3 linked regions of the Tamandua tetradactyla genome follow. The protein of the gene in region 3 interacts with the protein of the main gene of each other region in a biochemical or structural test. Links are inferred from orthologs where the notes say so. Each region holds a gene or a part of one and is shown on either strand. Other genes may lie near its edges.

Region 1 (6,949 bases), on a different chromosome or scaffold from region 3:
GAGGGGATCCTTTGAGGGCAATTTGCAAGAAAATGGAAGCTTTTCCTACTGGCTGCTAACATCAAACATATTTGGCACTGGGCCTTTAAAGGAAATAGATGTCTGGGGAATAACTGAATTAAGTGATGCTAACCTCAGCAGAGATGAAGATTGGTTTCCTTATCTCTTCACCTGGGAAAACACAACGGAAGCCCTAAGGCCCAGCAAGAGGAGGGGTCTCTAATACTCAGCGGGAGCAGAAAGAGGCATGCAGCCCCCACATCCTAGGCTCGCAGATGCAACCTCCCTTCTCAACACCAGGGGCGCAATTCCCTAACAGTGACCTCGTGTGCTCACAGAAGGCTCAGGGCTCACCCTGCCTCGCCTCTCCCTGGAGCAATTTTCTTCTTCCTGCAAAGGATGCCTAGTTCAAGACACCTGCTCCCCAACTCCGAGGGTTTTGGTGTTCAATGTTGCTTAACTTATCTGGCCACTTCTCCACTTCTTGCTTTCCAGTTCCTCCTCAAATCTTGTCCCTTCCAAAGTTTCTTCATTGTCTCCCAAAGCCCGCCACTCCCCAGAATGGGGCAACAGCTCCGCCTTTCCTTCCCCACTCCTCTGCCTCCGCCTCACCTCCGCCGCCCAGCCCCAAGCCCTCTGTGAAATCATGTCTCCTTTCCAAGTCTCAGTTCCTTCCAAACAACTTTACAAGCACATGAAAGCCAGGCCGAGGCAGTTATTGCTACTGGCACTTCATTGGGTTTCCTCTAAATGACTTTGCCCAAAGGGACTGTGGAAACATGGGGCTCAAATGAGCCTGCTGCTCTCCAAGAGAAGCTTCAGGGTCAGGGTGCCAGGTATTTGGAGGTGGGACCCTTTAGACAAATCAGGGAGATGAGGTTGGAAGGCGTGAGGAGTCAGAATCCTCAGAGACAGAGCCCAAGACAGTCCAGCAGGTAACTTGTAAATAAACTTCTCTGGCGGCCACGGGGAATCCACCCACAGTACTTGTCTCTGAAGCCAGACCCAGGGCTCCTCCTGCCATCAAGTTCTCTCTTCTCTCCCATCCTAGGCATTCCTGTTTTTCAAGGGCCCCTGGAGCTCCAGTTCCCTTTGGAAGCCTCCTGAAGGCTTCTGGTCCACCCAAACCCTTTCTGCCCTGAAATCCTTTCTGAGTTTGTCCATTTCACACAATCCAACATATTCCAATGAAGTACAGGCTTTGAAACTCAGCAGACATGGGCTCAAATCCAGTCATACTCCTTGCTATGATACGGGCATACCACTTAACCTCTCTGAGCCTCCGTTTCCCTCCTATAAAGCAGGATAATAACAGGACCTTCTCACTGGGTCATTGTGAGGGTAAAATGAGATAAGAAATGTAAAGGCTTTACAGAGTGCCTGGGACAGCCGAAGCGTCCAATAAACGGTGGCTATTGCTATTGTTGCTATTATTATGATCTTTTGTTTTAGGAAATCTAAATCCTAAATTTAGATTTCCTAAATTTAGGAAATTTGGATTGCCATATCCTCAGTTTGAAATACCAGGGAGGGACTGTGTCTTTTACTTTGTTGGTATCTCCAGAATTAGGTTTAATAAGTTCTTGCTGAGTAGAATTAACCGTTGGCTGGGCTATCTTAATGACCCAGCTGGCACTGCTTAAAAGAAAAATTAATTTTGCTAGCGATAAGTAAATCGGCCATGTAATTATCTGCACATATAAAGATAAAAAAGGGGATGCTTGGAGTTCAGTTGGGCTAGAACACTTCACACGCACAGCCCCTCCCTTCCACTGTTCTCAACGGCTCAACCCCTATTTGCACCGGGCATGGCAGCCCCAGCTCCAGAGTCTCTGATTCCACTCTAGTGCCCAAGCTCCTCTCCGCGCTGCTGAGGCTCATCTTCTCCGTTTAGAATTCCCCAGACTAACTAGAAATAGGAGGCTGCAAGGGTTGAACAGGTCGCCCAGTGGTTCCATCTGTTACTCACATCCCCAGTCCGGAGTGGCACCTCCGGGAGCTCCGAGAGACCTCCTGCTAAGCCAGTTCAAGTTCCCAAAAAGCTCTCTAGCCCAGCAGTGACTGCAGCTGACCCTAAGAGCCTTAGAGCCCTGCCGCAGTGGGGAGCTCCAGGGATCTAGGTCTCCTTTCTAAAAAGCTCACTGTCACGGGCTCTCTCATACGCAAACGTGACCACCTTGCCAACAGCTCCTGCTCCCAGCCACAGCCCCTGACCTGCCTCTGTGTCAGTCTCTGCCGCTGCCTTACCTCTAAGCCAGCTCCTGTCCCCTGTCCCTGCCCCAGCCTCTGGCCTTGCTTTGCTAGGGCACACACAGCTCAGCCCGGGCTTCCAGCGCCCTTGGGCAAAGGAGCCTGTCAGTTGGGACACGCGGCTGCACACATCCAGCGCAGTTACTTTCTGCCATGTGCTTCGGCTCTAGCGACCTCACCCAGATCTCTGCGCGCCGGCAACCTGCCCAACAAACTTTTCTTCTCGCTTTCTCTTTGCTTTCAACAAAACGGTACTTCCCACCAACACACGCGCCTACTGCTTAGCGCACATCGCAGCCCGGCTTTCCTTAGCCAAATCCAGGTCGCTCGCCTCCGGATCCCCGAGGACCCACTTGGGCTGCGAGGCTGCGGGGCTGCGGGGCTGCGGGGCTGCGGGGCTGCGGGGCTGCGGGGCTCGGGGCTGCGGGGCTGCGGGGCTCGGGGCTGCGGGGCTGCGGGGCTGCGGGGCTGCGTGCGGCTCCCGCGCTCTCCTGGCGCCCCCTCCCGCTGCCCCGCTCGGGCGGGCACTCACCGATCTGCGCCAGGCTCAGCTGCATGAGGCAGAGCCCCCAGGCTGCGCGCCACCAGAACGTGGCCATGGGGTCCCAGCGAACCGAGAGAGCAAGCGACTGGAGCTGGAGGGTCCCGGTGCGCGGGGCGGGGGGCGGCGGAGGACGGGGCGAAGAGGGAGGACCGAACCTGTCAGAGGCTGGGGGTCCTGCTGGGCAATGAGGCCGCCTCGGAAGTTGGCTGCAGTTTTTATTCAGGAGCTGAAAGAGTGACCTAAGAGGGAGGGAGGGCGCGAGCGCAGGACACACCCAAGCGAGGGGTTGTGACTAAGCAGAGGTTTAAAGACGTACCAGCCCTCTTTGGCGCGGGCCTCTTCATCCCCGCCCGGTTTCCTGGGGAGACCGTAGCTCAGGGCTCCTGGGGGGCGCCGGGGGCCTCGGGGGGCTCGCAGTCCCCCAACCCACGCCCCCCAGGGCCGGCCGGCTCTCTTCTCCAGGCCAGCTGAGTGGCGGCTTAAGGAACGAAGATGACCGAGTCCTGAAACTTCGCCCCGTTAGGTTCGCGCTCTGGCCTCTCCTGTCCTCAGAGCTTCTCTCCGCATCTGTCTGGGAATGGTTCTTGCTGGATTTCTCAGGCAACGGGATACCCTGGAAGAGGAGCCAGATCAGAGATGAGGCCCTTGCACTGGACGGTGGTGCCCCCCTCCCAGGGGGAGGGAAGGAGAGGTTGTGACACTCCTGGGGTGGGAGGAGGGAGGGAGAGCACAGGCTTCTTCCCCTCAAATAGAAGCAAAGCCCACCTCACTTGGGTGGATTTTTTGCTCAAGGCAAGCTAGTGATGGCCAACCATGGGGCTGATGAATCGGCTCGGCTAAACCCACGAGTTTACCCTCCAGTCTACCCGTCCACCCACACACACTCATTCATCCTCCCGAGTATCCGTCCCCACCACCATCCATCCATCCACCCATCTTTTCTCCCGTCCTCTCCATGCCCCCACATCTGTTCGTGCCCCCATCCAGCCATCCTCCCCTCATACTTCCATCCACCCATCTTTTCCACATTTGCTCAACTCCTCACATATTTATTCACCATTTTTCTCCCATCCATTTATCCGACCACACACCCTTTCTTTTCTCCATCCGTTTGCCCAAATTCTCCCGCCATCCTCCCGTATGCCTTCTCGTCCATCATTCCATACATCATTTTCACATCTCTGCATAAACCTACAGCCATCCATCTACCATCCTCTTCTCCATCCGTGCACCCACAAATCCATTCATCTGTATATACTTTGTCCATCATCCACTTATCCATATTTCAATAGGGACCCTCTCGTCCATCCACACATCCTGTCCATTCTTCCTTGCTCCCCTTCACACTCCTATCTATCCATACAGGCATTAATCTGCTGACCCTCAACTATCCTATTCAGCAAATATCAACGAGAGGAGGTGATTGTCACATTCTTTAGTGGAGGCATTTTGAGTTTGAAAACTCATATCTCACTTCAGAATTATGTATATATCTATCATATACTATGATTTAATATTTGGAAATCAAAAGCAGTGCTTATTTTTAATGTGAACTGTTAAAAGTAAAGCTGAATGATTTGTCACCTGGTTCACACAGAAAGCTATTGTGGTTTTCAGTGGCTGGGGCATGGTCCTGAAGAGAACATGCAGGAATTTCTGAGGAAAACTAAGAATTTGTTATTTGTTGAAGGGAATGGGAAGGTTTGGAGAAAATGTACCCAGGCATCCACCTACCCATTCATTCACCAACCATATACTGAGTGCCCAAGGTTCTCGAGATATATAAGACCTGGCCCTGTGTTCAGGGGTCCCAACTCTGGCCAGCAATCCAACTCATGAAAGCTGTTCCCACTCAATGTGATATGTGCTGCAAAATGTGTGTGTAGAATGCCATCAACCCTAGAGAAGGGAGTCACAATCTCTGCAGGGGAACACACCAGGGAGGCTTCACGGTGGAGGTGATATTTAAGCCTGGGTCTCAAAGGAGGAGTAAGAATTCTTCAGATGAAATAGCAGGGGCAAAGCATCAAGAGGCAGTCCTCTGTAGTAATTAATAACAAGAATTTAGGAATCAGAATGCCTGGGTTCAAACTGCGGCCTGACTGCATCCTAATTCTGCGACCTTGAACTGGTCCTTTCTGCGCCTCAATTTCCTCATGTTTTAAAATGGGGTTCAAAATTGTGTCTGCTACACAGAAGTGTTGTGAAGATCAAATAAATGAAAAGTGCTCTATATAGAAAGCACTCTATGGGCGTTTGCTATTATTATTAATAACAAAATTGTGTGTGTTTATGGAAAAGTAAAAGAGCATGGCTTGTTCAGGGAGTGGAGTGCAGTTTGATGACTACCATGTTAGATCAGATGAAGAGGTTGGGAAGGGAACAAGAAGACAGTAGGTGAGAGAGGTGGGCGGGGCTGGGATGTAAGCTCTGCCAGGGAATTTGAACTTGATCCTGTAGGGAAGTAGGGAGTCAGTGTCAGTTCCCATGCTGGGGAGAGTCTGTTTGAATGCAGGTTTCAAGAAGGACCTTTCCAGGGAGGGTGATTTGGGCTGAAACTTGCTGTCTGGTCCTGCTTCCCAACCACTTGGTGGCTGCATTCTCCAAGTCAAAGGGTCACTTACGTGAAACGAAGGCAGTGTCCTTGGGCCCCCACCCAAAGAGAGGCCACTTCAAAAAGTGCTACCAGTAGCAGGAAAGCTTGGTCCTGCTGTTGTGACCAACGGGACACTTTTCTGAAACAATCAGCCGACCACCTGAGAAACCAGCCCCAGTGGCCTCCATGGGCAAGAGCTTGGACACCACGTGTTTCATCTTTCCTTATCTGATGGGGTGGGCGTTAGTTAGAAACTGTATTTCTCTCTGCTTCCATTCCAACGATAGCAGTTCCACTGTTTTTGTTTTATATACTACAGCACGGTGTGAGAGTTCATTTTGACAAAATGGAAAAAAAAAATGCAAAATCACTATTTTAGGTCATCTTGAAACCTGGTCCTTTCTGCAGAAAACAATCAGCAAATGTAAAAACAGGTATGAAAATGCTTTACAGACTATAAAGGGGCATGCAAATTCTAAGGATTGTAATTAGGATCGTTCTCCCAGGGGAGGATATTTTGCCTTCCTGCTTCCCGATAATTTAGTGAGGGACTGAGGTTGTTTGCCCCCATGCCACAAATGACTCATTTCAAATAATCAATCTGGTTACTTACTGAGTCAGGGCCAGCCTTTGGGACTTCCTGGATCACTTCTCTGAGGTCCCCTCTCATCCACTTTCCGCCCCAAACATCCCCTCCTGCTCACCCCTCAGCACCTCCCACTGGTTACACAAAGACCCTCCCTTGCTCTCCTTTGAGCCCTGTAAGAGTAAACTCATGAAAGTTATTCATTTTAGTTGCTCAGTATCTGTTTTGTGTTGTATCAGATACCTTTCTAAACCAAGCCATGGGATGTGGGAAACTGGGGAAAAAAGTTTGAATTGATGTGGGTTGACATGAATCATCTGGTTTAGAGAAAGTCCAGCATGATCAGCAGCCTTGGACCGAGAAAGCCGAGAGCGTGAGCTCTCACCCTTATCAGCCAAATGACCCTACTCAGACCCAACCTCTAGTGGTTTCGGTTATCTCACCTACAAAATGAGGTTAATAAAACCTTTCTCACAGTTTGTGATGTCTGCATCAATACCCTTTACTAAGGGCCTGCCTCATGGGGGAACTCAATGACCCCACAGGCTTTCAACCCCAGACAGGGACATGTCTGTCTTAGGCATCACTACATCCTCAGTTCCCAGTGTCTTGACTACGGTAAGAGCTCAAACAATAAGCGTTATGTAAATGCGTGAACAGCCATTGTTCTTTTCCCTCCTGCCATACTTTAGAAGGTTATTTCAGGAATCCCATGAGCTAATAGGTGGAAGCACTTAAATATCTCGACAATTTCTAAACAAATGCAACCAGTACTATCATCTCTGGGGTGGCTGGTTTAGGAAGGACCACACGGAGCAAGAGCACGGCTTATTTTAGCAGATTAGGGTTTTTTCCCCCTAAAATATTGGGGCATGATGATTTCTGACTTGTAATAAATCTTGTTCCACTTAAGCAAGCCAAAAGTCAAATCTAAACCAAATGTGAGCAGGAGTGTATGGAGCGAAGCTGGAAG
Region 2 (8,081 bases), on a different chromosome or scaffold from region 3:
TTCTCACTTGGCTTCTACAACGTCTCAGTTGTTACTAGTCTCACCCAACAGATATTCTTCAGAGAAAGCCTCAACACCAAGAGACAACCAAGTGACAGCAGCACTTTCACTGCTCCAGTGCTTCTCATTCTCAGATGAAGGTTTTTGTCAATCCAGAAACGACAGAGTTACAGAGAGCTTAAACAGAATTCTGCACCTGGTGTGTAAATCAGAACAGTTAGACCTCCTCTGACATCAACACAGGATGTTTCCTACAACACAATCAATCTGAAATGTCCTGGACAACCAGTAGAAACAATAGTGGCAAACAGCCTTGTGCAGCACGATTTTACACAACCAGCACAATAAGGAAACCCACATCCACAAATTACCATATTTTAATGGCCCTCTATTAGAGAAACTCAAAATAATGCACATAAACCACACAACTGACATTCAGTTCTGCTTTGCAGAGCCCCGTAAATCAAATACTGCTAACCTGGATTCATTACAGATTAAAAGAATAAAAGTAGACACACCTTTGGCTTTGAAACACTGACCTTCCCTTCCAGTTAGCCTACTGAAATATCCTTTTTCACCTACACATCTTAGATGAGTGTAGGGTGACATATGAAATGTATCCCACTTGCCATCCCACTCTGAACAAGTGAATTATAGGCATGGCATTTAGAAGAGAAATTCACTGTGTGTCAACAAAGATAAGAACACCGAGAACCATCTCCTTCTGACCAGATACCAGACCTTTGTGGTCTGCCCTTCTCAACCCGCCTGCCCCAGCTGCATTCTCGTGCTCTGGTACCTGAAAAAATATGCATACAAAAATACACAGAATCAAACATAAATACAGTTAACATGATAATTTTGTTAGTCATGCCTGGAGACTTAACTTGGCTATCTACATCAGTAGAACTCTGAATACCACTTCTCATTAATCACTTACATATCATTAATCCTTTATTAATCCTTGATAAAGAATCCAAATACGTAATTATACTTGATTTACAAGAAAAGCAAATGATCAAAACAAAGCATCTATAGTTAAAAGGAATCATTTATTACCCATCAAAATAATGTATATATTTAAAAGGGATCTATATATCCCTTCTAAAACAACCTACTTAATACTAACATTTTTATAAATGTATCAGATGCATAAGAATTAAAATATTTCAATCATTTAATTTTTAAAAAGTGGTTTTCTATAGGAAAAACTCATATTCTGAGTACTGGCCAAAGTCAGACGAGGTACTGTAATGTCATAGCTGTGAAGGTCCAATTAATAAATATCAACTTTTCAGGTACAAAAAAATTGATGCATAGCTGGGGTGTGGGTACAGATTACTGGATATCCACTGAGAGGCTGCGACTTCCCAGGCTGACTGCACCACTGCCTCCGCTCGCCACTCGGCCCCGTCCTTCCTGCAGCCCCTCCCTACGGCTCTGGTCCTGGCTCCGGGTTCGGATTCGGACCCGCAGGCCCGCCGGATCTGCCTGTATTAGCGCAGAGGGGCTCCCCCTGGTCGAGCTCAGCCCAACAGGCGGGGTGGAGGCGTCGCCTCGGTGGGGAAGACTCTCTACCCTCTCACACCTAGGTGACCTGGTCCTTCTGTGGCGTCATGTCAGCTGAAGCTGCAAGCCAAGGTGGATGCCGCTCCGGGCCCCAGACAAGGGCAGCCCGGGCCTGGGTGGGGCCGGGCGCGGGCCGCAGGCGCCCAGTGGCGTGCCAAGCCCGGCAGCGAGAACCAGGGAAGGCTGCGATACTGCTGCATTGTGCTGCATCACGGCGAGGGCACCGGGAGCCATCCATCTTGCCAAAAATGCACATCCCTCCTCCCAAAGAAATCTCATCGAATCCATTTTTCTTTTCCGCCGAAACACACCACACTCGCCCTCTTCCTCACTTACGGTCTGGCGTGGCTTTTGATTGGGAAATAATGGACATGGTTTGGGTATTGATTCCTTCCCCACCACCCCCATCTGATGGCAGGCACTTGGCACCTTTCCCTTTCCTATCATAAAGAAAAAAAAATACAAAAAAACAAAGGGAAGGCATACTCCAAAAAGAGGGTTGCAGGTATTGGATGGGGAATGATGAGACGGGCTTCCAGTCCACCACCCCAAAACAGACCCAGAGGGACCCCCGTAGCGGTACAAACCTGTTGAGGGGCCCTGTGTCCGGAGCCGAAAGGCGGACGCAGGGGCGGCTCCGCGCCCGAAGGCAGCTCCCGCCCAGCCCTAGGAGAGTGGGAACGGCAGGGAGGGTGGGGGACCGGGGGGGGGGGCGGGGAGGGATCCGCCGGTCGCCGCCTCCGGCTCAGCTGCAGCGCGGTGCAGCCCGGACCACGCCTGGCCGCATCCCCAGTCCTGCTACGCTCAGCGCCCGGCCCTGTCACAGCCGCCCCCGCTCGCCACCCGCCGGGGTTGCGGGGAGGGCACCCGAAAATATAACCTCGCGGCTGCCCACTCCCCACCCACGCCCTCTCCAGAGACCGCTGCGTCCGATTGCAGGGAGGAGGCGGCGGAGACAGGGAGGAGGAATCGGCACTGCTGCACCCGGGGATGGGGCCGAGCAGCCGCGCTGAGCACGGTGCATCTGGAGCTGCCTCTGCGGAGCTCGCCGCCCCACGCCCCGAAAAACCCGAGTACTAATAAGCATCTGAGCCCCAGGCTCCCCGCGCCGCCTCCGCCCGGGTCCACAGCCTTCCTGCCCCCACCCCGCACCCCCGGGAGCAGGGCAGCGGCGGGACAGCAGCGTCTCCCCGGTCCTGGGCCCGCGCCCTTCCTCCCGCCCACCGCCGCCGCCGCGGAGCCCGCCCGGGACGCAGCCCCAGTGAGTTGGCATCTTCCAGCCTCAACCCCCCTACCTACCTCCCGAGGGTGGGCTGGGGGGCGCCGGGGTCCCGTCCTCCTCCGGCTCCTCGGCGGCCGGGCGGGTGGGCCGGGAGGCGACTACGCGGGGCTGTCCGCGGCGGGGGCCGGGGCTCACAGGACGGGACCGGTGGGCGCTACTGCGCGGGGCTGCGCGCTCGCTCCGGGAGGAGAGGCGGCGGAGGGAGGGACTGGAGGAATCCGCAGCCTGCACGGCAACAGCTGCACTGATTCCGGGGGCTGGGCGGGAGCGCGGGGGGAGGGCGGGGAGAGGGCGGGGAGGAGGGAAGGGAGGGGGGAGAGCAGGCAGGCCCGGAGGGGGGCGAGGGGCGGAGAGAGGGAGAGGCGCGGGCGCCGGGCGCGCGCGCGCACACACACACACACACACACACACACGCACGCACGCACGCGTACACGAGTGTCTCCGGCACAGCCTCCACTCAGCCTCCACCCTGGCTTCCTCCCTCTCGTCTACCCCGAGCCCCGAAGACGCCTGCTTGAGCTCCTGCTCCGCTCCGGAGCCGAGCCTCGGGCGCGTCCACGCTCTCCCAAGCCTGGGCTCTTCCGCGGCCGCGGACCGACCTCGCCCCCTGCCGCGGGGACCGGCCAGGAGTGGCCTTGGCGCGGTGGGCACCGCCGCTGCCGCTACCCGGGCAAAGGGACAATGGGAGCTTTGTTCTCACAGCCGGCGAGGGCCAATTTCACGTTTAATTTCAGGCTAATTCGATTATCGCCGGGGAAAGGGGCAGCTTAATTTTCTACGTGACTTGGGCAGCCTCTTTTCGCCCTTGATGTTGTCGCGTTTGTCGTGTGTTTAGGGAGGCTTTAGTGTCCTCTGGTTGGTTAGTCCTGGATCTGGGTGGTGATGCCTTGTAGTTTCCGCCCAGCCTGGAGAAGGGAGATGGGGAAACCTGTGGCGAAGGGGGAAATGGGGTTTGTTCCTCTACCAAGTAGAGACCCTTCTTCGTGAATGCTTTTTCACCCTTGCCGGCAGGGTAGCTGGGAACTGACCCTATTCAAAAAGCTCATCCTTCTCCTGCTTCTCCCCCCAAACGCAAAAGCTGAGCTTTAACCTGAGGCCGGTCCCCTTCCGGAGTCACTCCTCGGGACTGGTGGCGCCCTGGCTGCAGGAGACGCCCCAGGGGTGGCTTGGGGGTTGAATTCGCCCAACCCCCATTCCCTGAGACAGACATCCGACGTTTGGGTCAAGTGCAGGTCCTCTTTACAGCCAGCGGACCCACCCCGTCAGCCCCCCAGGCTGTGTATAAACCTTGGAGCCGCAGCCACTGGGGAGGGAAGGTGGTGTCATCACAGAAGCGCTCTTTAGAAAACAGCCTCACGGACACCGGTTTTCTCCCTGCTCTGTGACGGCCTACGCAGTGCTGTGGCCCCTTCAGAGCACTTTCCTTGGTTGAAAAAGCTCCAGACCTTTCCCCCCTAAAGATCCACCCTCAAAAACAGACTTTTTACAATTAAAAAAAAATAAGTTTAAAAAAACAAAACAGGCTTTTGACTCAGTTTGGATCAGGCTTATGTCTCCAATCAATAAAGTCGAGACCTGATGGTTTTATATTTCTAAGTGTATTTTAAAATGAATTATTTGTGAATAAGATGAAATGAAATTGTCCCAACAAACTAAAGATAGTTCTTCCTTTCAGGCCTTCATCATGGCATGAATGTTTGTACAAAGGTTGACTTTTGATATATATGAAAGAGATCGAGGAAGGCAGATACTTTAACATTTTTCTCAGAAGGTTGATCAACACAAACAGAAGGGGAACTCCCCGACGACAGGAGAGCTTTTCACCTTGCACAGAGCAGGCATTTAGGAATCAAAGAGAATCAAGATGTAAGCTACCCTCAAGAGGAAATACCAGGAATCCACTAGGGATGAAAGTTGTTTCCCTTTCACTTATTTAAGTCACAGCCTCTAGCACCTCCCCACCCACAATGTTAATAAAATACCAAAGAAAACAATGGCAACACTGGGAAATGCTTCAGCTTAAATTCTTCCAATATTATTCTGAGTTGATGACTTTTAAGTGTTTTCCTTTACCACAGAGAGTACTTGAATAAATCGTCATTTGATGGATGAATCACCTCCCTACCCCATTCTACTCCCACTTAAGTTTCTTAATTTCCTTCACAAGAGAGAGGGCACACACGAACTTAACAAGTTACTCTAATATTTCAAAAAAAGTGAAAAGCAAGTATTCAGACTTCACTATAAATACCTGCCTCACAATTTTGAATTTTACCTTTGGTGGAAAAAAATGTATTACCCATTGACCAAAAAGAAATATAGGCAAAGAAAAGACGGTTCAAATTTGGAGAGATTGTTCAAGAAGACATCTCCGTGGAAGGCAGGAATCTAGAAAGAGATTAAAGACCTTAGGCAGTAATGATGATAACTCCAAATGATTATTCCCAACTATCTCAGAAGTAGCTTTGCTGAGGGGTTTATCCTCACATTAGAATCAAAATTCATTTAGAGGAAGCTAGGATTCATCATTGTTATATCTATAACAACCATGGAAATAACACTTTATTAAAAGTTTTTGCAGATATAAGTTGTCATTTTAACTTTTCTTTCAAAGTATAAATGAAAATCTTGTCAATATATATATCAGTACACTCTAGGATATGATGCGATAACAAACAATTCCCAAATCCCAGTTGCTTAACACAAAGAAAGTTAATTTATTGCTTATGCAAAGTCAATCATGGTTTCAAGCAACTATCTGGAGAAACTGTCCTCTCCACGTGTCAGCTCAGCATTCTAGAACACTTTAATAGTATGGTATGTCCATGTCTTGGCATGCTTCCCCAATCTCCATTGTAAGAGAAAAGTGTGATGAAGGGTTAAGCTCCAGCAATGAAATGCTTCTACACAAAAATGACACGTGGTCACTTCCATCCACATTTAATTTGAAAAATCAATTTACATGGCTGTACATTGCTTTAAAGCACCAGAAATGTACAACCCTCCTTGTGCCTAGAAAGGGGAAATGAGATATTGGAGAATAGCAGTATTGGCAGCTACATGTTTTATTTAGAGAAAAGGGAATGGTAATTTCCTTATTTATATTATATTAACCCAATTAAAACTTGTCTTCTGTTGTGCCTGTAGCCTAAAATTTTACAATCAGGACAAAATTTGAAAATTTGAATAAATTTTCTTAATTTTTACATACTTTCTAAAATTGACATCTTTTTAACACAGCTAGTCTGGAAAGTTTCCTTATATCAGAAATATTTCATTTGGATTTCCACACATTAATTTTATACTAGGACTATCTAAAGACTGATATGTTTAAACCATCATTACTCATGAATGAGTATTTTTGAGCACTAACAACACATTTGCTGTTTTATAAAACAATTCATTCTCTCACTTATTCAACAAATATGAATTAATAGCCTTATACTATTCTAGGCTCTGAAATAGAGTAATGGGCAAAACAGTGAAAGCTAACTACCTTCATGGATCCTTCGTTCTAGTATGGGGTTCCATCAATCCATAAATAAGTAGACTATGCGTATAATGACAAATCTGAATATAATGTGACACAAATATTTAGAAATAAATACTCATAAAATAATCAGGATAATTAGTCTCAGCGTTCTAATGCTAAGTAGCAACTATAATATGCTCTCCAGTTTACAGAGTTTTAGCAAATATCATCGTATTTTGCTCTTTTATCAGATATCAGCCCCATTTTAGAGATGAGAAAACTGAGGCACTGGTGGTCACATTCGTTGCCCAAGTTGACACAGCCAATCATTAGGCCAGAGGCACCTGCTTAGAAGGTAGCGTGTCAGGGCATTGTGTGCTTGATCATTGCATATTAATTATTTTAAAGTAATTCTGGATTTAGACCTCTAGAATAGGAGAGGAGAAACTTTCTTAACTCTATTCCAAAACCTCAGTGTAGCAAGCACATTGGCTGATGTCCATGGTACACTAACCCCACTCAGCAAGTAGGTTAGATGCTGGTACACCCATGCATTTCTGTTTCCACCCATTGAGCTATATATTTACTAAGTCAGTTGAGTTTGTTCCCAAATTTGTTTATGCCAGTCATACTTAGAACTAAGTATTACATAAACTAATGAGATATGAGTGTCAGAGTTCTTTCAGAAAAAACTAAGTTGTATACTTTTGAAATATCTGATTAAAGGCAAAAAATACTGCCATTAGATTATGTGTGAGGAAGATAGTAAAAAATTGGGGGAGAATGGAAAGTACAAAAGTTTTGAAATATTGAACAGTCAGATTGCTTTGCAAATATCTCTAAGTTCTTATTCAACTTTAAAGAAAACAGAACTGTATATCATATAGCCATGGCTTATGTGAAAAGGAGGTGGCCTTTCACTCAGTAAACATAATCAGAGAAACTCTTTGTTAATCAACAGATTAGCAGATGAATGTACATTTATAATTTTCAAGTCCAAATAAAATGTTGAAGTATGTAATTTTGCAGATATAAATCTATCATTTTATTTTTCTTTCAAAATGTAATCCAAGGGTTTGACGGTGTATTCTTAGATATAACACTGAAAGCATGAGCAAAAATAACAAGATAAATAAATTGGACTTCATCAAAATTAAAACCTCTTGTACATCAAGGAACAATAGCAAGAAAGTGAAAATGCAACCTACAGAATGGGAGAAAATATTTGCAAACATATCTATATGATAAGAGTCTAGCATACAGAATAGGTAAGGCACTCTTACAACTCAACAACAAAAAGAACAAACAACCCGATTAAAAAATGGACAAAGGATTTAGAAGAGGACTAGCCAACAAGCATATGAAAATTTATTCAAAGTCGTTAGTCAAAACTGTAACAAGATACCACTTCATGATCAACTAAGATGGCAAGAAAAAAAAAGAAAGAAAGAAAATAACAAGTGTTGGTGAAGATGAAAAGAAACTGGAACCCTTATGCAGGTGCTGGGGAGAATGTAAAATGGTGCACCCACTGTGGTAAACAGTTGAATAGTCCTTCAAAATGCTAACCATAGAGCTATCATGTGACCCAGCAATTCCACTCTTAGAACGCACCCAAGAGAACTGAAAGCATATGTCCACACAAAAACTTGTACACGAATGTTCATGGCAACACTATTAATAGCCAAAAACTGGGGGAAAAAACAAATGTCCATCAACTGATGAATGGATAGACAAAACATGTCTGTAGAATGAAAT
Region 3 (7,227 bases):
TTTCACCAATACCCTGAGAAATAAACTGCTATACAAACTAACCTAATCGAACTATGGCTCCTTTGAGGGAATAGCTTCTCAGATCAGTATGTGATATTTATTCAGATCACAGAAGGGCTCCTTCAGGGGTCCAATTCCCCTATTGTTTCCCAAAAACTACCCAGCAAACAACCTAGGCTGAATTTTCATGAAATCCATGAATATTTTCCACATACACCACTGTCTCTGAGAGCACCCTTAGGCACAAACTTCTCAATGCTCTGTAGCAAACGATGTCAGTCCTTTGGGAAGAGATTAGGAAACATCTGTTTTATGACCTGCTTTTCCTACCAAGACAAAAGATTCTGAACTAGGGCTCTGGAACTGGGTTTGGGGATACTAGCAAGCTCTCTTAGTGACATCTTGCACTGGGGACATCTTGCACTGGGCTTGCGTCTCCTGGCATGGAACCACCATCTCATGTGCTAGAGCTACCACCTCTAGACCACATTCACCCAGGACTTAGCCACAGCAACAGGTGGCTGGGGACAGGATTTGAAACACTGAAGTCCTGCTTCTCCCGTGAAGAAAACCCTCCAAATACGAGCTGGAGGGAGAGGGAGCCCTGTGGTCTTGACTGTACCAGTCTTGGGATTTATCAGTCCCACCTTGCTGAGCTGGTTGTGGGGAGGGAGGGATCTGTCTTGGTTCAAATACCACAGACGCCTGTCTTTCTTACTGACTTTGAGTAGATTTTCTTTCTTTGTTACTCACCCTTAGGACCATTTCCAAAAGCTAAAAATAATTGTTAAAATAATAATAATCTAAAAAATAATTGTTTTTAGAGTGGGCAACAGTGGTTCAGTGGCAGAGTTTTCACCTGCCATGCCGGAGGCCCAGGTTTGATTTCCGGAGCCTGCCCATGCCAAAATAAATAAATAATTGTTTTTGTTGTTGTTGTCCTTTTTTTTTTTCTTTTTGCATAAGCAGGCTCAAGGAATTGAAGCCCAATCTCCAGCATGGCAGGTGAGAACCCCAGTGGGTCTGTGGAGCCCATCCCATTGTCATACTGGAAGTCAATTCTGTCTAAGACTGATTTTGCACTTTAACAGTAGGCTTAAAGAGTTCAGTAGTTGTAACAGAGAACTCCATGGCCTACAAAGTCGAAAATATTTACTACGTGGCCCTTTACAGAAAAAAAAGTTTCCAATCCCTGACTTAGGTCAAGGCTGCTGATGCTGTGGTCTGTAGACCACACTCTGAGTAACAAAAACTTAATTACCTGAAAACAGTACTGTGCTGACTAAAAGCTTGGTTCAAAGTCCCACTCTGCCATTTACTAGATATATAGTTTGGGGGGGGGTAATGATAATAATAATTGTACCTACCTCCTTGTGTTGTGAAGATCAAATTTGTGCATGACTAACACTTAGAAAGTATTCAACAACGATAACTATTATCATCCTGGAGTAATAGTGAAAAGTAAATAGAAGCCACCATCCTTTCTGTCAAAGAATCTTTTCCTGAAAATTTAAACTTTGAAAACAGGAAGCAAGGACAGGCTTTCCAATAGACAAGATGCAACTTTCAATACTTGGGGTGCTTAATAATATTACCTAATGAAGTTAAAAACTCCATTACCTAATGAAGTTAAAAACTCAGAGCTTAAGCTCGAAACTGAGAGCGATAATTCCCTGCCACAGATGCTTCCAGCCTCTTCCAATAGCAATGAATGAAAACAACCTCCAGAAAGAAAGTTCTCCCAAACCCTCAAAGCCCCTGGAAGAGAAAACACCTTTAACACGAGGATTTAAGCCCAGACAGACCCTTCTGGTTCTAACCCTCTCTACCTACGATCAGCAGGTGATGTAAGCAGAATCCCTCACACTTCCACCTGGACTGTCACCGTGGCAGCGGCGCCTCGGTCGGTGCCCAACCCCGCGCCGGGGCTTGGTGGAGAGGGGTTTCGGCCCAGCTTCCCCTCACCGCTGCCAGTCGGGGCTGCGGGCGTTACCTCGCAGTTGAATTCCATCTCGGCGTCCATGGTGACGATCCGCACGGTGAACGTCTTGGGTTGCTTCCTCTTGAGCGAACTGAAGCTCATGCGGGAAGCGATGGCCCCGGCCATGGCGCGGGAGTCGGGTCCGGGCCCCCTGCCACCACCACCCCCGCCCCGAAGCCTGCGCTCTGGATCTCTTAGCCCCCCTGGAGGAGCCGCACAGGCCTCAGGGCCACCATGGTGGCCGGCCGGCCGGCCCGGGAGCTGTCTTTGCGGCGCGGGCGTCTAGCGGCCCGCATGGGCCGCGAAGACCCTGAAACCCGGAGCCGAAAGGGGCGTCGGGGGGCGGGTCCTGCCCGCCGCGTGTAGAGGACGCGAGCGAGTACTAACGGGGCGGGCGCAGCCCGGCGCTCGGGAACGCCCGGGATGCCCGGGACCCCCGGGTCCTCCGGGAATGGGGCCCTCCCCGACGGCGGCGGCCCAGACCCCGCGCGCCTCTCAGCGGCCGACCGGAGTGGCAGGGCCGAGCTGCAGCCGGGAGCGACGCGCTCGCGCGCGCGGGCCTGTCACCGTTCCCGCTCCGCGCGCCCCCGAGAAGCGTCCCCTCACCCGAGTCCCCAGCCCGCTCCCGCCCCGCCCTCAGGCCCCTCTCTCAGCGCAACCGAACCCGGCGGTTGCTGGGCCACCCTGCGGAGCCCGGCGACTGTGCGGTTGGTTGAAAACTCCAAGGGAGGCGGGGCTTTCCAGCTCCGTCCCGCCTCCTTCAGAGCGGCTCCATCAATTAGAAGTTGCGCCCTAACTGGAGATGCAGAGCTTGGACTCGGCCCTGAGTGGCTGGAGCAGCAGCCACTCCGAACACTTTTGTTCTTAGGCTCACGCCTTCTCTAGCAAGATTGGTTGAGGCGTCAGCTCCCGACGCGCCTTTCTTGCGTCCCCACGCACGGGCTGGCTCCAGCGAGGGAGCCAGGTCCTCCCCTGGTCCTCTGAGGCACTGTTTTCTGGACGCAGCACGCGCGAGCGTCGCGCCGTAGGAAAGTGCGTTTCGGACACGCGTTGAATATTCCTGTTTGGCCCTTAATTACATATAGTGACCTCACGAACACTTAGAACGCTTGTGGAGTCTTCTTAGGTTGTCGGCACTATCCAGCCAGATCTCTCTGCTTCGCTTTAGGAGAGATAATATTATCGAAGGGGGATAATAATGTGCCTACCTCGCAATGTTAAGCGAGTTAACATATAAAGTTTTAGAACGGTGTCTGACAAACAATAGGTTGACTGCTGTGATACTGCTGTTTTTGAAGGTCCAATACTGTCGTAAAATTGAAAGCATTTCTCATTTTGTACTTTATGTGATTTGCATCTTCGAACTATACACGTGTATTAATTATTGTTTAGTATTATAAGAGTTATAACGGGTGTGAGAGGCAATTACACCTTTCTGTATTAAATTAATAAATTATATTTTCCTATTTTACAATAATCATTACTATCCAAATAGAAGCAATGTTATGCACACCGTAAGTGCTCCTTAAATGTTAATAATCATTAGCATCGCTCTCGCCCTACAGATGAAGAAATTGAGAGGCTCGGTAGAAGACTGTGAACTTACTGGAATAGGGAGAGGCAAAGCTGGGATTTGAACCTAGGTCTCGCAGATCAAGAGCCTGCTGGTGTCACGACCATGTTTCCCTGGTTGTGACTTCCAAATTGCTCCCTGTTGCAGCCACGAAACGTGAATTACACTTCTGGAGCACTCTCCAGACACTGTTGCTGTAAGTGGATAATGGATAAATCTAGCTGTTCCCGGCAAGCCCCTGCTGTGCCATGAAACACCAGCCCTGCCTCAGCAATCATTTACTGGCACACCAAGAGAGATTTCATCTGGGGAACTTAACTTTATGTCCTGGATGCAGCTAGCAAATTGTCTCCACCGAACTGATTTTTCTAGGCAATACTGGCTTGGCGTGGGAGTGTCTTCATTTTCATTGCTTCAGTTCTTCCCTGCGGGTGAAAGAACAGGACTCGATTCTCCTGTGGCCTCCCCACTGGGACAGCAAATCAGAGCTTTAACCCAGGGCCAAGACTACTGACAGAAAATAAGTGACTCTGGGAGCTAATGGAGGAGTAAAGGAAGGAGGTGGATTCAACAACAGGGACTAAAAAATAACGTAGGTGGCCAGTAATAGCTCCTATTTGTGGAAGGCCTACTAGGTGCTAGGCACTGTGTGTTAGAGGTAAAAGCTTGAATTCAACCTTCCGGGAGATCATCCAGGTATACCTATGGGTCTGAATCTCAGAAGGGAGGGGCCAGGAATAAAATTAGATGGAATATTATATAGGCATTGAATTGCCATTCACAAAGAATAAGCAGATGATGATAATACCCACCAGATAAGGGTTTGAGGAGGGTACAGTGAAATAAGGTACAGCATCTTAAGAAAGAACCAGTACATAGACACCAGTTAATAAATATCTACTGAGTGAATAAATGCAGGACATGAGGAAATGCTTATGTTCTCAATGATGAGAGCCCAATCAATAGCTACCATACATGAAGAGCTTACAATATAAGGCACCCTGCAAAGTGCTTTGCATACTTTGTTTCTTTTCATCTTTACCAAAACTCCTTTTGGTAGTTATTTTATCCCTGATTTATCCGGGAAGAAACTGTTATGGCTAAAATGAGGTAATTATCATCTCTACCATGATCATAATTGATAGAGCTGCCTCTTCCACCCAGACGGCTTTAAATCCAGATTTAAGCCTGATTTACATCGAATTCAGCCATTTCTTCCAGAAGACCAGTGGTTCTCAAAACAGCACTGTCAGCTTTACCTGGGAACTAATTAGAAAAGCAAATTATCAGGCCCCACCCCAGAAGAACTGAATCAAAAACTCTGGGGTTGGGACCCAGGGGCCTTGTTCTAACAAACCCTCCAGGGGATTCTCATGCATGCCAAAGTGTGTGTGTGTGTGTGTGTGTGTGTGTGTGTGTGTGTTGTGGGGGAGGGGGAGTGATTCTCAGTCCTATAACCCCAAGGAACTGAATTTTGCCAATAACCTGAGTAAGCTTGTGTCATGGTCAGGTTCATGTGTCAACTTGGCGAAGTGGTGGTACCTGTTTGTCTGGTTGGGCAAGTGCTGACTTGTCTGTTGCAATGAGGACATTTCATAGAATTAGATCATGATCATGTCAACTGCATCCACAGCTGATTCCATTTGTAATCAGCCAAAGGGGAGTGTCTTCTGTAATGAGTGATGCCCAATCTAATCACTGGAAGCCTTTTAAGGAGGATTGAGAAGAATCCTTCCTGCTTTGGCTGGTGAGGCTCTCCTGTGGAGTTCATCCAGACCCTCCATTGGAATCGTCGGCTTCACAGCCTGCCCTGTGGATTTTGGACTCTGCATTCCCGCGGTCACATAAGACACTTTTATAAATTTTATATTTGTGAGTGTTCCCTGTTGAGTCTGTTTCTTTAGAGAACCCTAACTAATACATCTTGGAAGAAAGCTTTCTTCTGAGCTCCAAAGAATACTGCAGTTCTCATCCGAGAGGGATTTTGCCCCCAGGGTACATGTGGCAATGTCTGAAGGTTTTTGGTTGTCACAGCTAGAGGATGCTCCTGGCCTCAGGATGGTATTAAGGATCCTGCAACTCACAGGACAGCTTCCATGACAATGAATTATTCAACCCAAAATATCAATAGTGCCAAAATAAAGGGACCCTGCCCTAGAGCAGTGATTCTTTGCTCTTTTTTAATCAAAAACATTCTACCGAGAATCTGATGAAATCAGTGGACCTTCTCAAAGGAATGCACACATGCACAAAATTTTGCATATGCTTTCCAGAAGTTCATGGAAAGTTTCCTCCAAAGCACATCTATAGAGCCCAGATTAAGTCAATTTGTCCTAGATGCTACATGTGAACTCTAGACTGTGGCCATTCTGCCTAAATCTGGACTGCTGCATTGTCATTGTAGCTATTTGCAGAATTACTTTTCCTACACATTGGCACGAAGGTAGTGTCCTGCAGAGAAGCTGTAATAAGAACTAGCCCCAAGGAATTCTGACAAAGGTTCTGACAGCATCCTTTCTATAAAGACCCACCAGAGAAATCTCTTATGCTGCAGCATTTGTATTTTTCATGGGCAACTGGTTTGCTTGTTTTGTTCTTGTTTTTAGTAACTTTTATTCTGTTTTTCTTTATTTTACAAGTAATTCACATGCTTCATAAAAAGGAAATTAGAACCCACAGATAAGCAGTATGGTAGGCAGAATTGTAAGATAACCTCCAGTGACCCACTCCCTTGAATAATGCTCCCCTTGAGGGTGGGCAAGACTTGTGGTATGTGTGATATTCACCAGTGATTTTGTACTTTGCATGGTGAGAGGGATTTTTTGCAGATATAAAGTCCCCAATCAGATGAGTGACTCAGAAAGAGATTATCCTGACTGGGACTGCCACAGAGTTGTACACTTAAAAATGGTTAAAATGGAAAATTGGGTGATACATATATCCACAATAAAACTTTTTAAAAGGAGGTCTAATACCAGTGAGGAGCTGAATCCCCAGGACAGTCCCAGAACAGGACCCCACAGCATCCTCTTCCTCCTCTGACCCCATCCTGGACTTCACCATCTCCCTGGATGTGGCCAAAGACAGAACACATCAGAAATACCGCTGCAAACAGGCCCCGCAGATGTACTGGAGCAAGAAAAATGAACTTTTCAGCAATCTCTGAGCACCTCTGCACTAGCCATCAAGGAAAGCTGGAAGGGCTGAGCCAGCCCCCACCCCAACATCTCTTCCTATTCCTCCTCCCCACCCACCCCTGAATCGATGTACCAGTCAGCACCAACATTGCCCTTCTCGGCAAATCTGATTTTTCTAGAGAACAAAAATTCTTCCCATACATTAGGGAAGGTGACTTTTTCTGTCCTGCCCCAATCAAAAAAGCAGACTCTGTCCCTTACTCCTCACTTGAGGGCTTCACCCTCCATGTGTCACCTTGACCCCCTACCTGGGACATCACTGGGACTTGCACCAAGGAAGGATTGTGGGACCCACCCTTGTGATGGCTGGGTCCAGGGCTGATCAAGGACCACTGACTGTAGCAGCCATGGCTCTGGGTGGACAGGCCATCATCCTCAGAGCTGGGGCTCTGGCATTTATTTTTATTCATTTGATTTAAAAAAAAAAAAAACAGAGTTTTGAGGGATTTTTGTTTCCTTGATCAACATGATTTTTC

The links.
Region 1: the proteins of NF2 (region 3) and CD44 form a complex in vitro, tested with the Homo sapiens proteins (2 studies listed by BioGRID, with this or other methods). The link is inferred for Tamandua tetradactyla from reciprocal best matches to the Homo sapiens genes NF2 and CD44.
Region 2: the proteins of NF2 (region 3) and SPTBN1 form a complex in vitro, tested with the Homo sapiens proteins (2 studies listed by BioGRID and IntAct). The link is inferred for Tamandua tetradactyla from reciprocal best matches to the Homo sapiens genes NF2 and SPTBN1.

What each region holds. Positions count from the first base shown.
Region 1 is NC_135334.1:111,512,953-111,519,901, reverse strand, and holds the start of CD44 (CD44 antigen), read right to left. Parts: upstream 3,033-6,949; 5' UTR 2,850-3,032; coding exon 2,783-2,849; intron 1-2,782. UniProt on the Homo sapiens protein: Cell-surface receptor that plays a role in cell-cell interactions, cell adhesion and migration, helping them to sense and respond to changes in the tissue microenvironment.
Region 2 is NC_135343.1:26,797,652-26,805,732, reverse strand, and holds the start of SPTBN1 (spectrin beta chain, non-erythrocytic 1), read right to left. Parts: upstream 3,033-8,081; 5' UTR 2,869-3,032; intron 2,252-2,868; exon of another isoform or gene 2,157-2,251; intron 1-2,156. UniProt on the Homo sapiens protein: Fodrin, which seems to be involved in secretion, interacts with calmodulin in a calcium-dependent manner and is thus candidate for the calcium-dependent movement of the cytoskeleton at the membrane.
Region 3 is NC_135331.1:33,434,507-33,441,733, forward strand, and holds the start of NF2 (merlin), read right to left. Parts: upstream 3,012-7,227; 5' UTR 2,108-3,011; coding exon 1,994-2,107; intron 1-1,993. UniProt on the Homo sapiens protein: Probable regulator of the Hippo/SWH (Sav/Wts/Hpo) signaling pathway, a signaling pathway that plays a pivotal role in tumor suppression by restricting proliferation and promoting apoptosis.